Sus scrofa: one gene and its partners. The protein of the gene in region 2 interacts with the protein of the main gene of each other region in a pairwise test. Links are inferred from orthologs where the notes say so. Each region holds a gene or a part of one and is shown on either strand. Other genes may lie near its edges. The genes, in order: RAB39B, RUFY1 and DIEXF.

Evidence for each region.
Region 1: the proteins of RUFY1 (region 2) and RAB39B interact in binary tests that used the Homo sapiens proteins (3 or more experiments, as listed by UniProt). The two-hybrid records come from large-scale screens. The link is inferred for Sus scrofa from reciprocal best matches to the Homo sapiens genes RUFY1 and RAB39B.
Region 3: the proteins of RUFY1 (region 2) and DIEXF interact in binary tests that used the Homo sapiens proteins (3 or more experiments, as listed by UniProt). The link is inferred for Sus scrofa from reciprocal best matches to the Homo sapiens genes RUFY1 and UTP25.

Annotation. Positions count from the first base shown.
Region 1 is NC_010461.5:125,525,387-125,529,723, forward strand, and holds the start of RAB39B (ras-related protein Rab-39B), read right to left. Parts: upstream 2,868-4,337; 5' UTR 1,791-2,867; coding exon 1,576-1,790; intron 1-1,575. UniProt on the Homo sapiens protein: The small GTPases Rab are key regulators of intracellular membrane trafficking, from the formation of transport vesicles to their fusion with membranes.
Region 2 is NC_010444.4:79,014,973-79,018,620, forward strand, and holds part of RUFY1 (RUN and FYVE domain-containing protein 1), read right to left. Parts: intron 2,211-3,648; exon of another isoform or gene 1,576-2,210; intron 1,397-1,575; coding exon 1,223-1,396; intron 1-1,222. UniProt on the Homo sapiens protein: Activating adapter involved in cargo sorting from early/recycling endosomes. Regulates retrieval of proteins from endosomes to the trans-Golgi network through interaction with the dynein-dynactin complex.
Region 3 is NC_010451.4:133,138,320-133,142,531, reverse strand, and holds the start of DIEXF (digestive organ expansion factor homolog), read left to right. Parts: upstream 1-1,273; 5' UTR 1,274-1,382; coding exon 1,383-1,489; intron 1,490-2,259; coding exon 2,260-2,299; intron 2,300-2,981; coding exon 2,982-3,237; intron 3,238-4,212. UniProt on the Homo sapiens protein: Component of the ribosomal small subunit processome for the biogenesis of ribosomes, functions in pre-ribosomal RNA (pre-rRNA) processing. Essential for embryonic development in part through the regulation of p53 pathway.

The DNA of each region.
Region 1 (4,337 bases), on a different chromosome or scaffold from region 2:
AACAAACCACACGAATGAGTTCAAGTCTCCAGAACCAGGCAAATCAGCCCTGGAAACTGAAAGCATTCCTAATTCCCTTATGTTTGAAGATTCATGGAGAATTGTAGGGGTAGCAGAAAATTCGACATGGACAAATACTTGGATTCATGAACAGCTTGGTTTAAGAAATCACTAAGCAAGCTGTGGTCAAAACTCGAAATACATGATTAAGGTTTTGTGAATATTTAGAAAGTTGCCAAGCCCTTTGTAAGTACAACATAAGGCTACATAAATTAAAGCCTTCCATACATAAAAATTGTCCTAAACAAACTTAAAGGACAAATGCAAAACTGGGGAAATATTTTACAATATCCGTGACAGAAAAGGATTACTGTTCTTAATATATGAATAAATGTTGGAAATATCACCCAATAAATCATAATCAGTGGCTATGAAAAGCCTGTCCATACAGAAAGAAATTCCAACAAACAGGAAAGATACCGTTCTTCACTTGGAGTATGAGAAATGCAGTCACAAGTTCAAAGGGAACATGTACGAGGCTGTCTGCGCAGGTGGGGAGGTGGAGACAACTCAAGTTTGAAATTTGCTTTTCTCCCAAGTCCCTCGTCAACCGCCTACCCAGCATCTTCTATGCTCAGTTAGTGTTCAGTAGGTAAGTGAAGGAATGATCCCAAACATGAGCTATTGCATCCTCTTGATCTAGTTCCTGTTGCTCTACCTGGCTTTGGCTCAAAGTTTTCTGTGTGCCCCGCTCTCTCGCGCACCTGTCTTTGCTTTGGTAATCTTACTCATCAGGCCCCATCTTCTCCGTTAGCCTACCCTCATCTGTGTTCACACGTATGATCACAAAGGACATAATACCACAAAGGGAAGCAAAGGATTGTTAAGAGAAAATTAAACCTGCTCGTTGATTTTTCAATATGTGCTAAGTGTTACGGAGGCAGCGGGCACACACATATGAACGGGGCACTCATTTTGTGTAATTGCTGATCTGCTCCCCGCCCCATGCTAGCACAGAAGTTCCAAGAGGGAACTGTCTGTGCCTGTTTGTTTACATGGCATCATCCCCTTGCATGAGTTTCCTCAGGCTGTTTCCCCAGAAACAAGTGCACTGTCTGGCATATAGTGGCTGATCATTGAATGCGTGCTGCTTGCAAGAAGGACTGGACCATCAGTATCTGTGTGTGTCTATATTTATATCTAGCTCTCTTTATCTCTATGTCTGTCAGTTATGTTAGGATGACCTGGGAACATTTCTGAAATGTAGCCCGGGGATGGAAACTGATGAACTGCAGAGATTGCCTCCAGCTAGTTTATTAGTCATCCAGGGGCAGCTTGGTGGAGTTTGGGTGTACTATTGACTGGCCTTCTCTGCTACGGCACATCTTTCCCTGCGCTGAACTCCCAGCTAGCTGAAGGTGGGCTTGAGCAGAAACCCTCAGACCCCGGGGTTTTGTCCCTTAGGGCACCCATCCTCCGCCCCCGGACCAAGACCAGGAAGTCCTCTTTCCTCCAGGTCTCTGTGCAAGCCCCAAAGACCCTCCCACTGCTCGAGGGCCCAGGCTGCGCTCCCACCTGAACCTCTCTTGACCCGCAGTATCCCAGATCTGGAGCTTGATGCGTTTTCCTGGCTCGATCTCCACCAGACGGGAGAAAAAATCCACCCCCACTGTAGGGTCTGAAACCTGGGCAAAGCGGCCCTCGGTGAAGCGGCGGATCAGGCAGGACTTGCCCACCGTGGAATCCCCGATGACAATGAGCCGGAACTGGTACAGCCAGATGGCCTCCATGGCTGGGCTCGGCAGGTCTCCGTGCCCCGGGCCGTGCGCGGCGAGACGGGGCGCCCGGCCGAGGCCTCGGAGAGTGCGGCTGGGTCCTGATCTAGATCGGCCGCGAGCGCATCGTTGGCCTGGAAGCCTGAGGCGAGGTAGGCCCAGGAGCAGAGAGAGCAGAGGGATGGATGCTGCGCTCGCAGAGGTGATGAAATGGCAGCAGCATCAGCACCACGCACTCTGACTCATCACTGACAACAGGGCTACTGTAATTCTCCATGTAGAGGCGACTCCAAGGGCCGCACTGTCTGTAAGAGGAGCGCACACAGAAATGGCCTCGAAAACAGCTCAGTCCTTTCCTTTCGCGTTCCTCCACTCATCCTTTCTTTTTAAATTAGAAGTATTCTCTGTCTTTCAAATTGCAAAAGTTAATAAGCCTTCATTAACACTAACGAAACAATACAACAATATACACAAAAACGAAAGTCTATAATTATCTGCTGCCTACCTCCCCAAAGATATTAACCGTTTGGTATATATTCTTCCACGTGTATTTCTATGAAAAGATACATACATATATACATTTACTGCTGTTTGATTTTACAAAAATTGTGTCACATCGGATCATTACTTTGACACTTGCTTTTTGCAATCGATAGAGCATCACAGACATTTTTCCCGTTCCCTTTTCCTTTTGCTGCAATTATCTCTCAAGTGTAGTCACATATATATTATCTCTATGACATGCAAGAAAGACCAGGAAGTCAAAGAGTATAAATATTTAAAATACTATAAATATGGGCATTATGCTTGGCAAAAATATTTAGCTAAATTTAAATTCTAGGCGGCAATGCGTGAAAAGACTATTTTTGGCATTATTTCAAGCATCATATGTGATACTCTTTCATAATACTTGCCAGTCTGATGTAGTTAATGGGATCATTCAATGTGTGGACTTTCGTAACTGGCTTCTTTCCCTTAGCGTGTTTTAGAGGTTCATCCACATCTCCTAACATGTATCAGGACTTCATTCCTCTTTATTTATTTTTATCTTTTTAGGGTCACACCCTCGGCATATGGAGGTTCCCAGGCTAGGGGTCAAGTCTGAGCTGCAGCTGCTGGCCTGTGCCACAGTTCACGGCAACGCCGGATCCTTAACCCACTGAGCGAGGCCTGGGATCAAACCTGCATCCTCATGGATGCTGTTCAGATTCATTTCTTCTGAGCCACAGTGGGAACCCCGCATTCCTTTTTATGACTGAATAATTTTCCCTTGTGTGACATACTACGTTTTGTTTATCCATTTTTCTATCGATGGACGATTGGATTGTTTCTGCCTTTTGGCTATTGTGAAGATTCTTGGACAAGTTTTTGTTTGAATTCATGCTTTGCACTTTTTCAGGTTTAAACCTAAGAGCGGCATTCCTGTGTCCTGGGGTAGCTCTATGTTAAGTCCCTTGAAGAAATGCCAGACTGTTTTCCACGGAGGCTGCGCCAGGGAAGACGTGTGTTCCCCGTCTTCTCCCAACGCTTGTTATTTTCTAACTTTTTGGTTCTAGACATCTTAGTGGGTATGAAGTGATAGCTGATTGTGGTTTTGATTCACATTTCCCTGAAGACTAGTGAATGTGCATGTTTTCACATTCTTATTGGCCATTTACATATCTTCCTTGGAGAAAGGTACACTCTGACCCTCTGCCCATTTTTATTTATTGATTTATTTATTTTAACTTTTTTCTTTTTTGGCCGGCCCGAGGCATATGGAGTTCCCAAGCCCGGGATCAGACGCCAGCCTAGTTTCAATCTAAGTTGCAGCGGCAGCGAGGCGGGACCCTTGACCCACTGTGCCCGGCAGGGGATGGATCTTTTGTCCCAGTGCTTTCAAGACGCTGCAGATCCCATTGTGCCACAGTGCCTATTTTTAAACTGGATTATTTATCTTTTTATTATTGACTTGTAAGAATTCTTTACACATTGTAGGTATAAGTCCCTTCTCAGATACGTGATTTGTAAATATTTTCTCCCATTCTCTGTGTCCTTTTTGAACTTTCTTAAGGGTGTTCTTTGAAGCACAAAGTTTTCAATGTTGATGAAGTAAAGATTATCTATTTTTTTCTTTTGTTACTTGTGCTTCTGGTGTCATGTGTAAGAATATTTTGCCAGATTCAAGTTTGTGAAGATTTACTCCTCTGCATTCTTCTAAGAGCTTTGTAGTTTTAGCTCATACACTTAATCTGTGATCCATTTTATGTTAATTTTTATATATGCTGTGAGGTAGAGGTCCAGCTGCATTCTTTTGCATGTGGATACCTAGTTGTCTAATCACTATTCGTTGGAAAGACGATTCTTTTCCCATTGATGATTTTGGCACCCTTGTTGAAAATCAGTTTACCATAGACTGGTTTATTTCTGGACTTTCAATTTCATTCCTTTGGACTATGTCAGGTCTTATGCCAGTACCACATTGTCTTGATTATTTGGAGTAAGTTTAAAAATCCGGAAGTATGAATTCTCCTACTGTGTTCTTCTTTTGCAAGATTGTTTTTGGCTATTTGGGTCCCCTTT
Region 2 (3,648 bases):
CAGGGTATCTCTGATCTACTCACTATGCCTTCTCCCAAGTATTTATTATCCATGAAATAAAATACCAGCTCAAATGATGACCTGTGAAATCCTTCCCGTTTCTCTCTCCTACCTGATGCCAAAATCAAGGCTTGATTTCAATCATCACCATTTTTCATCTGAACTGCTGTAATAACCTCCTAATGGGGGTCCCTGCTCTTAATATTGTCACCTCTCCACCTTTGCAATCTGTTCTCCACATAGGTCAAGGTTAAAAAAAAAAAAAAAACTAAAAGAAGACAACCCCGCCCCCCAAAAAAAACACCCTAAGTCAGATCTTGTTTTTTCCTTGCTGAAAATCCTTCCAATACCCTTGGAATAATATCCGACTCCTCACCTGACCTATAAAAACCTATGTGATCCAGCCCACCCCAACTTCCCTGACTTACCTCCCCTCCTCCTTCTCAGCCCACTTTAGTCACCTGGTGTCTTCTGCAAAGCAAGTTTAGTCCCTCTCAGGTACTTGTGCCTGTTTTGTTTTGTTTTGTTTTTCTAGAAAGGCTCTTGCCCCAAATCTTTTGCATGACTGACTCCTTTCTCACATTTCTCAATGAGTCTCAAACACAGTGAGTCTCAGCTCACATTTCCCCCCAGGAAGACTTTCCTCTCTCGCTCTAGCCGAAAGGTTTTTCCCTTGATTTCCTATCATTTGACCCATTTTGCTTCCGTGAATTGGTAGCACTCTGTAATTATGTTTGCTTCCGAATTTATTGTCTGTCTCCTCTTCTAGAACTGTGCTGTCCAAGGCAGTTACTAGCCACAAGCGCCACTGAGAACCTCAACTGCAGCCAGTGCAATGGAGAGGTGCTGTAAGTGTAGAACACATGGTGGATTTTAAGCCTTAGTATGGAAAAGAATGTAATTTCTCATTAGTAAGGTGTATGCTGATTATGTGTCAAAATGATAATATTTTGTCTATATTGGGTTCAATAACATGTGTTATTAAAACTAATTTCATCTGTTTTCGCCCTTTTTTTTTAAACGTGGCTACTAGAACATTAGACATCGCATATGCGGCTTGCATGGCATTTCATTTGGACAGCGCTGCTCTAGAATGTCCCCTCTTGTTTTGTGCGCTGCTGTCATCCCAGCACCCAAAACAATGTTTGGCTTTGATGAATACACACTGAGCAAACAGCTAGCCCGAATTTCCACGCCCCCCAAACGCCCCCCTAAGGCTCACCTTTCAGCCCATGTTTGAGGCAGTGCTCCATCACTACAAAGAACTGCTGCAAAGGGGCATGGTCGGCATCCAGGCTGCGGCCCAGGCTCAGGGCAGACTGGAGCAAGACCTTGATGCTGAGTTTCATCATGTGCATCAGGTTGGCACGCTCCTCCATCATCTGGCTCTTGGAAGCTGTAGGGCAAGAAGCAGGGACAGCTTCGTTAGTGGTCTGAGTGTTGTTCCGGCGAGGAAGGTACATGCGGGACAATGAAGGGAAGACAGTCCAGGCGGTCTGCTCCAAGCGCGGGATGTGCGGATTAACTGGGGTTAGCAGCCAGCCGGTCTCTGACCCAGGGAGGTCAAAGCCGCACCTTGGTAGCTAGGACTGTGGGTCAGACTCCAGAGGCCTCTCCCAGGTAGCTCCGCGTGTTGCTACGGCGACGGCCCTTACCAAGATTCTCCGCGATTGGTCTCTCCCACGCACAATTCCCACCAATGAAAAGGCTGAAACTCTAGGAAGCCCTGCCCCAAGCCGGAAGGCGTGCCGGGAAAGCGCTCCACCCACTCTCATTCCTGTTGGGGGCATTCAGCTCACGCCCTCAGAGTTTGCGGGCGCCATGTTTACTCCTCTGTTCCGGGACAGTGGGTGGCAGTTTTCGGGATGGGTCGGGTTAGTCTGCACACCGTCGGGACGGCTTAGTGGGTCAGCCCTTTCGTCCGACTGTGATAGTCGGTGTCTTCGGGGAAGCCTACGCCCCTTAGTTCCAGACTCAGCTTCTCGTTGCCCATCTTTCGTCCACAATTAGTGGATAATTACGAGTTCTACACACGTTTTGTAAATGAAACCGTTGGCATTAAATGAACTCTGCTGCTTTCCCATTTCAACTCCATCAATCGTCGCTTTGAGAGTAAAAAAGTCTGCAATCAATACAAATACTCATAGCAAATGCTTACGAAGTGTCCTCTCAAGCCCTGGAAATTGCCACTCTATAATTTAAAAATGTAGACCATAAACCTTAACAGTCCTGGCAGGAAAAACAAGACCCGGCCCGGCGCGCACCTCTCCGCAGCCGCTAGCTCATTCAGTCTTTTAAATGTTTGCTACTTGGGATTGGGGTGGGGTGGGGGTGGGGTAAGGATAATGTTTTAGTTTGTAGTTATTACAGCTGTCAAGCAGCTTTTCACGTTCAGAGTCTTCTAGCATTTCTTCTGCGAATTTTAAGTGCTTTTATACTGTGCAAGATAGGAAAAAAAAATGCAACTATGAGCCATAGACATCTTAGAGGGTTGCAAATTTGTTGTAACCTTTGGTATAGACAATTGGTATTCAGGTCAGGGAGTGAGTTTTTTTCTTTTATTATTTGTAGGGCCGCACCGGTGCCACATAGAGGTTCCCAGGGTAGGGGTCCGATCAGAGCTGTAGCCACTAGTGTATGCCATAGCCGCAGCAATGTCAGATCCGAGCCAACCCATTGGGCAAGGCCAGGGTTTGAACCTGCATCCTCATGGATACTAGTCAGATTCATTTCCACTAAGCCACAACGGGTACTCCAGGGAGTGAGTTCTATAGACTTTTTGTGTGTGTATGTGGCGGGGGGTTCTGGTTCTGAGTTATAGAGAAGTGACTGGATTTTTTATAAATTTGAGTTTGTTTTGAATAGCCCTTGGTGTCTCGAAAGATCTTATGATATAGTATTATTCTGTACTGACAAGAAAACCATCACTTTCCTAATTTTCAGGATTTTCCCTTATCTCAAAGGCTAACCTAAGGAGTTCAGCAATGTGAAATGAAAAAGTTATTTGTGTTTCATTTTGGAAGGAACTATATCATTTGTACAGGGGTGTTCTGATACATGAAAAATAAAATTTGCCATGAAAAACAATGGAGAAAGTCATAATACATACCACCTACTTAATAGCAAATATATATCTAAATAATTTTAAAATTAAAGAATGCCTTCTTCATGGATAAACAACAAGGTCCTGCTGTGTAGCACAAGGAATTACATTCAATATCCTGTGAAATACCATAATGGAAAAGAATATGAAAAAGAGTGTGTGTGTGTGTGTATATATAACTGAGTCAGTGCTCTATAGCAGAAATTAACACACCACTGTAAATCAACTAAACCTCAATAAAACAAATTTTAAAAAGGACTGCCTTCTTCAGTGACTTTTGTTATTCAACCTTGAGGAGGAGGAGGAATCAGTCTAAAAAGCACAATGTAGAACCTTGTGTGGGTGTATGTCCTGTGGTTTGTGTGAAAACTGTGAGGGTAGAGATGAAGGCACATACTACGTCATGCTATGTCGTGCACAGACACTCTGAAATACAGTAGGATTGAGGACAGTTTTAGGGAAGGAGCACTTACTCTACACTGAGTGTTCTTTTGTAAGGTTTGTTTTGTTTTACCATGTATTACCTTTAAAAAAATACCAAAAAG
Region 3 (4,212 bases), on a different chromosome or scaffold from region 2:
TACTGCGGTCTTTAAGGAGCACACACCTTTCTGGAGTGTTAAGTCCAGTTGGTGTTTGTTTTTTCTCTTTGTTTCTTGAGGTTATTATTTGCTTACATTAAAATGTACCTGTTTTATTTTATTATTTTATTTTATTTTGCTTTTTAGGCCCAAACCTGCAGCATATGGACGTTCCCAGGCTAGGCGGAGCTGCAGCCGCTGGCCTAGCCACAGCCAAAATGTACCAATTTCAAACGTACTGTTTTCTTAATTATACAAGGTGTAACTATCACCATGATCAAGATATAGAACAGTTACTACCCCCCACCCCACCCCTGCCCTTTCTTTTTCTTTTTAAGGGCTGCACCTGCCATGGAAGTTCCCAGGCTAGGGGTCAAATTAGAGCTGTAACTGCCAGCCTACACCACAGCCACACCGGATCAGAGCTGCACCTGTGAACTACATGGCAAATGTTTAACCCACTGAAGGAAGCCAGCGATCAAACCTGCATCCTCACGGAGACCATGTTAGGTCCTTAATCCGCGGGGCCACAGTGGAAGCTCCAGTTACTTCCCCTTTGAAAGTGCTCCGTCCGGCTTCGAGTTCGGTCTTGGGACACCTGATTGGGCTTTACTGCTTTCTCTAACACCGTCTCTCTGGGTGACTTAGGAAATCACTTTACCTCTCCGGATGGAGTTCTGCTCTAGTACCATGAAAAATGTCGGAATAGATGAGTTACCGGGGATCCTGCAATACTTCAGTAAAATGAGGGGAAGGGGAAGGGCAAGGGTGCGAATCTCAGCCTTGCCTCCCCACACCTGTGGCACATCCTAGGGGAAAAAACCTGTGGTCGCAGCAGACTTGGGTTTCCAGCTCCTCTTTCGCTCGTGTGCACGTAACCCTTTCTAAGCATCCCTTTTCTCATTTAAAATAGCAGGCTTTTGAACAAGACCTATTTGTCAACTGCTGTGAGGAGTCTTGAGATGCTCCCGCACCCTTAAAGGCTGGTTGCGTTTTTATTGTGGCATAATATAAAGGCACTGCATTCAACCACCTCCACTACTACACGTTTACGCAGGCCGATTCTCACAACCGAAAGTGACGAGCAAAGTACCACGCACCTTTGTACCCACCTGGGGAAGCCGAAGCCTGTCCGCCTTCCTTCTGGGGCTCAGAGAAAAAATGGGCGTGCGTACATGTGCTTCCAAAGAGCGTCGCCAGGGGGCGGAATGGAAACCAGGAAGTTTTAACGCCTGTCGTACAAGCGCGACGTAAAGCGGGCCTGCTTTATGGCACGCTGCTTCTGCCGTAAAGCGCTGCCGGCGAGCCCGCGTGGGTCGGTTGGCGAGATTACTTCCAGGTGAAAAGCGGGCCCCTTGGAAGGGGGCGAAGTTGTGATCGCCATGGGCAAACGCGGGAGCCGGAGCCAGAGCCAGCTGATCAACACTCTGACTAAGAAGCAGAAGAAGCATCTCCGCGATTTCGGCGAGGAGCATCCCTTCTACGACAGGTGGGAGGGGCGCGGCTGGGGCCAGGGCAGCCGGCGTCTTCTCCCGCTGGGAGCCCGCGTGCTTTTCGGCGCTCGGTCCGCGGGTCCCCGGGACGGGGACGGGGACGGGGACGGGGCAGCTCCCGCCGCTTCCTGCGCGCCCCGCGCCGGCCTTGGTCGGCTGGGAAGACTGGCGGCTTCCGCCTGAGATGCGGTTCTTCACGGGTCTAACTTTGAGCTGATAACTCTATGCTAGACCGCACGCCTCCTTATGGGGCTGGTTTTCTGAATTTGTGTGTGTGCGTGCTTTCCAAGGATTGGTCCCACACGTGGGACCTTCGACATCACCGATCAATTCAATGACAGTGACGGAACTGATGTCTCGGTAGTTGTGGGTTCCTCTGTAAGTGTCCAGACTCTCAGTTATGATCCTACTTTAGTGCTCATCCCACCACTTTAGGCCGCTTTATCAACAATTAGAGGGACTTGCTGGAAGTGGTGAACCCCGAAGACTTTTATTTGACAGTTTTCCCATTTTTTGGATGAGAGCCAGGTATTGTGTGACTGCTATTTGTCATGTGACCTTGTTAAACTTTTTTTTTTTTATCGATTATTTTCTATTTGGCACATTCGTACAATCCTCGTCCCAGTACCTACGGAGTTTTTACGTGACTGTAGTTATGATGTGTTTATAATGTCTGCCATGTTCACTTAAAGTCCTATCTTTAGACATTTTTATTAATTGCCGAATACTAGTAGTTAAGAGTTTAACATTGCCTATTTCTTCTCAGGGTTTCCAGAAAGGAAGCAAAACCACAGATTTGTCACCTGGTAATGCTTTATGCCTTCTTTATGATAACTGATTCTGGGTTGTTACTTTTAAGGTTCTATATAATAGTACAGTTTGCCTGCACTTGCGTTCTTTTCGATTTTAGATGTAAGCTTTTATTTTGGTAATGTTGCTTAGCTTTGAATGCAGATGTTGGTTAAAATGCCATTGTGATAACTAATACAGTACCCAAAGTTTGACGTTGTCGTGAGAGATTAGCTTGTTAGGACCTGTTAAGCAGAGGGCTCTTGGTGAGTCTTAAGAGGGGAATGCCTTGTTTGCTTAACATACAATAGCGTGCGAAGTCATCAAAGGTCTTATTACCACAAATGCAGAAAAAAACTACTGCATTTTTTGTTGCAATTTTTCCTCTTGCTCCTTTAAATGTGCCAAATATCTGACACATAGGTTAATACAGACAACCTAAGCTCTGTTTTTAGACTTTCTCCTTGTGCAAGATTAGCAATTCAAAGAAGATGAAGAGCTTCTAGAATCATAGCTAGATTAGCTATCAAATAAATTTGGTGCTAGGCTTGGTTGAATAGATAAGATTGCATATTTGCAGAGAAGCTAATTTTTATTTAGAAAAGTCTCAGCCTCTTGCACTGTGGGCCTGATGGTCGTCATGGAGTAGCAACGAGAACAATATGAATTTTGTTTTTAAAATCCCCATTTTCCTTTTAGTCAGAGAGTTCAGATTCTTCGAGTTCTGAAAGTGAAGCGGAGAGTGAACCAGAACAAGTTTCTGGTTATCACAGACTTCTCGCTACGTTAAAGAGTGTTTCCAAGGAGGAGGAGGAGGAGGAGGAAGAGGAAGAAGAGGAAGAAGAGGAGGAAGAAGGCAGTGTTGTAGATGAGGCAGAAATGGATCTTGAAGAAGGTGATGGCGACGTGAGTGCGGAGGAAGACCTGGCAGCAGAGTCTGCAGACACGCGCGAGAGTGAGTGTCTTTGCTGGGCTCCTCTTTGCCAGGACCACAGACAGCTGGCCCCGTGGGCGCGGCACCCTGTCCTGCGTGAGCCGGGTGAAAACACACGGACCCAAAGCAGAGATTCTTAACCCTGCTGGGCTCGGTGATACCTTTGAGACTCTGATGAAAACCTAGGGCTCTCTGGCCAGAAAAATGCAGAAATGACATTTTTGCTTATGATTTCCAGGACTTCATCAATCCTAGTTCAAGTTCCCCTGATTGAGAGGAAAGAGAACATAATTCTGTTTTTGTGATGGTCTCAAATTTTTTAAAGAGATTATTGTTCCTCCCATAGGGAAACCAAGTTTACGGTAAGAGCGATACAATATACAAAACTTTTTAAGCAGCAGATTCGAATGGAATGGCTAGGTCTAAGGTGTTGAAGGGACATGAAGTGGTCCCACCATGCTGATGGGATACCTGAGGGAAGACCCCAGGGAAGCACTGGGACTGAAAAGCTTAAAGGACCATGTCACACCCAGACTTTTAAGTGACTTTTCACCTTTAGATCAACTTTATTGAGGTGTGATTTGCATACAGTAAAGTGTGACCATCTCAAGTATGTAATTTGATGAGTTTTGACAAATGTGTATATATTACCAGCACCAGGACAAAATGAAGAACCTTTCCAACACCTACAGAAATCTCTTCTGGTGCTTTTACAGCCGGTTTCCCAGGCCTGGCGTCAGGCAAGCACTGACCTGCTTTTTTCACTGTCGATGAGTTTTGCCTGTTCTGTCTAATTCATATGAATGGAAGTATACAGGAAGCACTCTTTTGTATCTGGCTTCTTGGCTTCTCATCCAATGTGATTCCTGTATTAGGAGTTTATTTCTTTTTATTATTGGAGTAGCATTCTATTGTCTGATTATACCCTGGTAACTTTTTATATTCTATTATCTAAATGCTGCTTTGCCTTTCTGAAATATAGAAAGTATTTTTTTT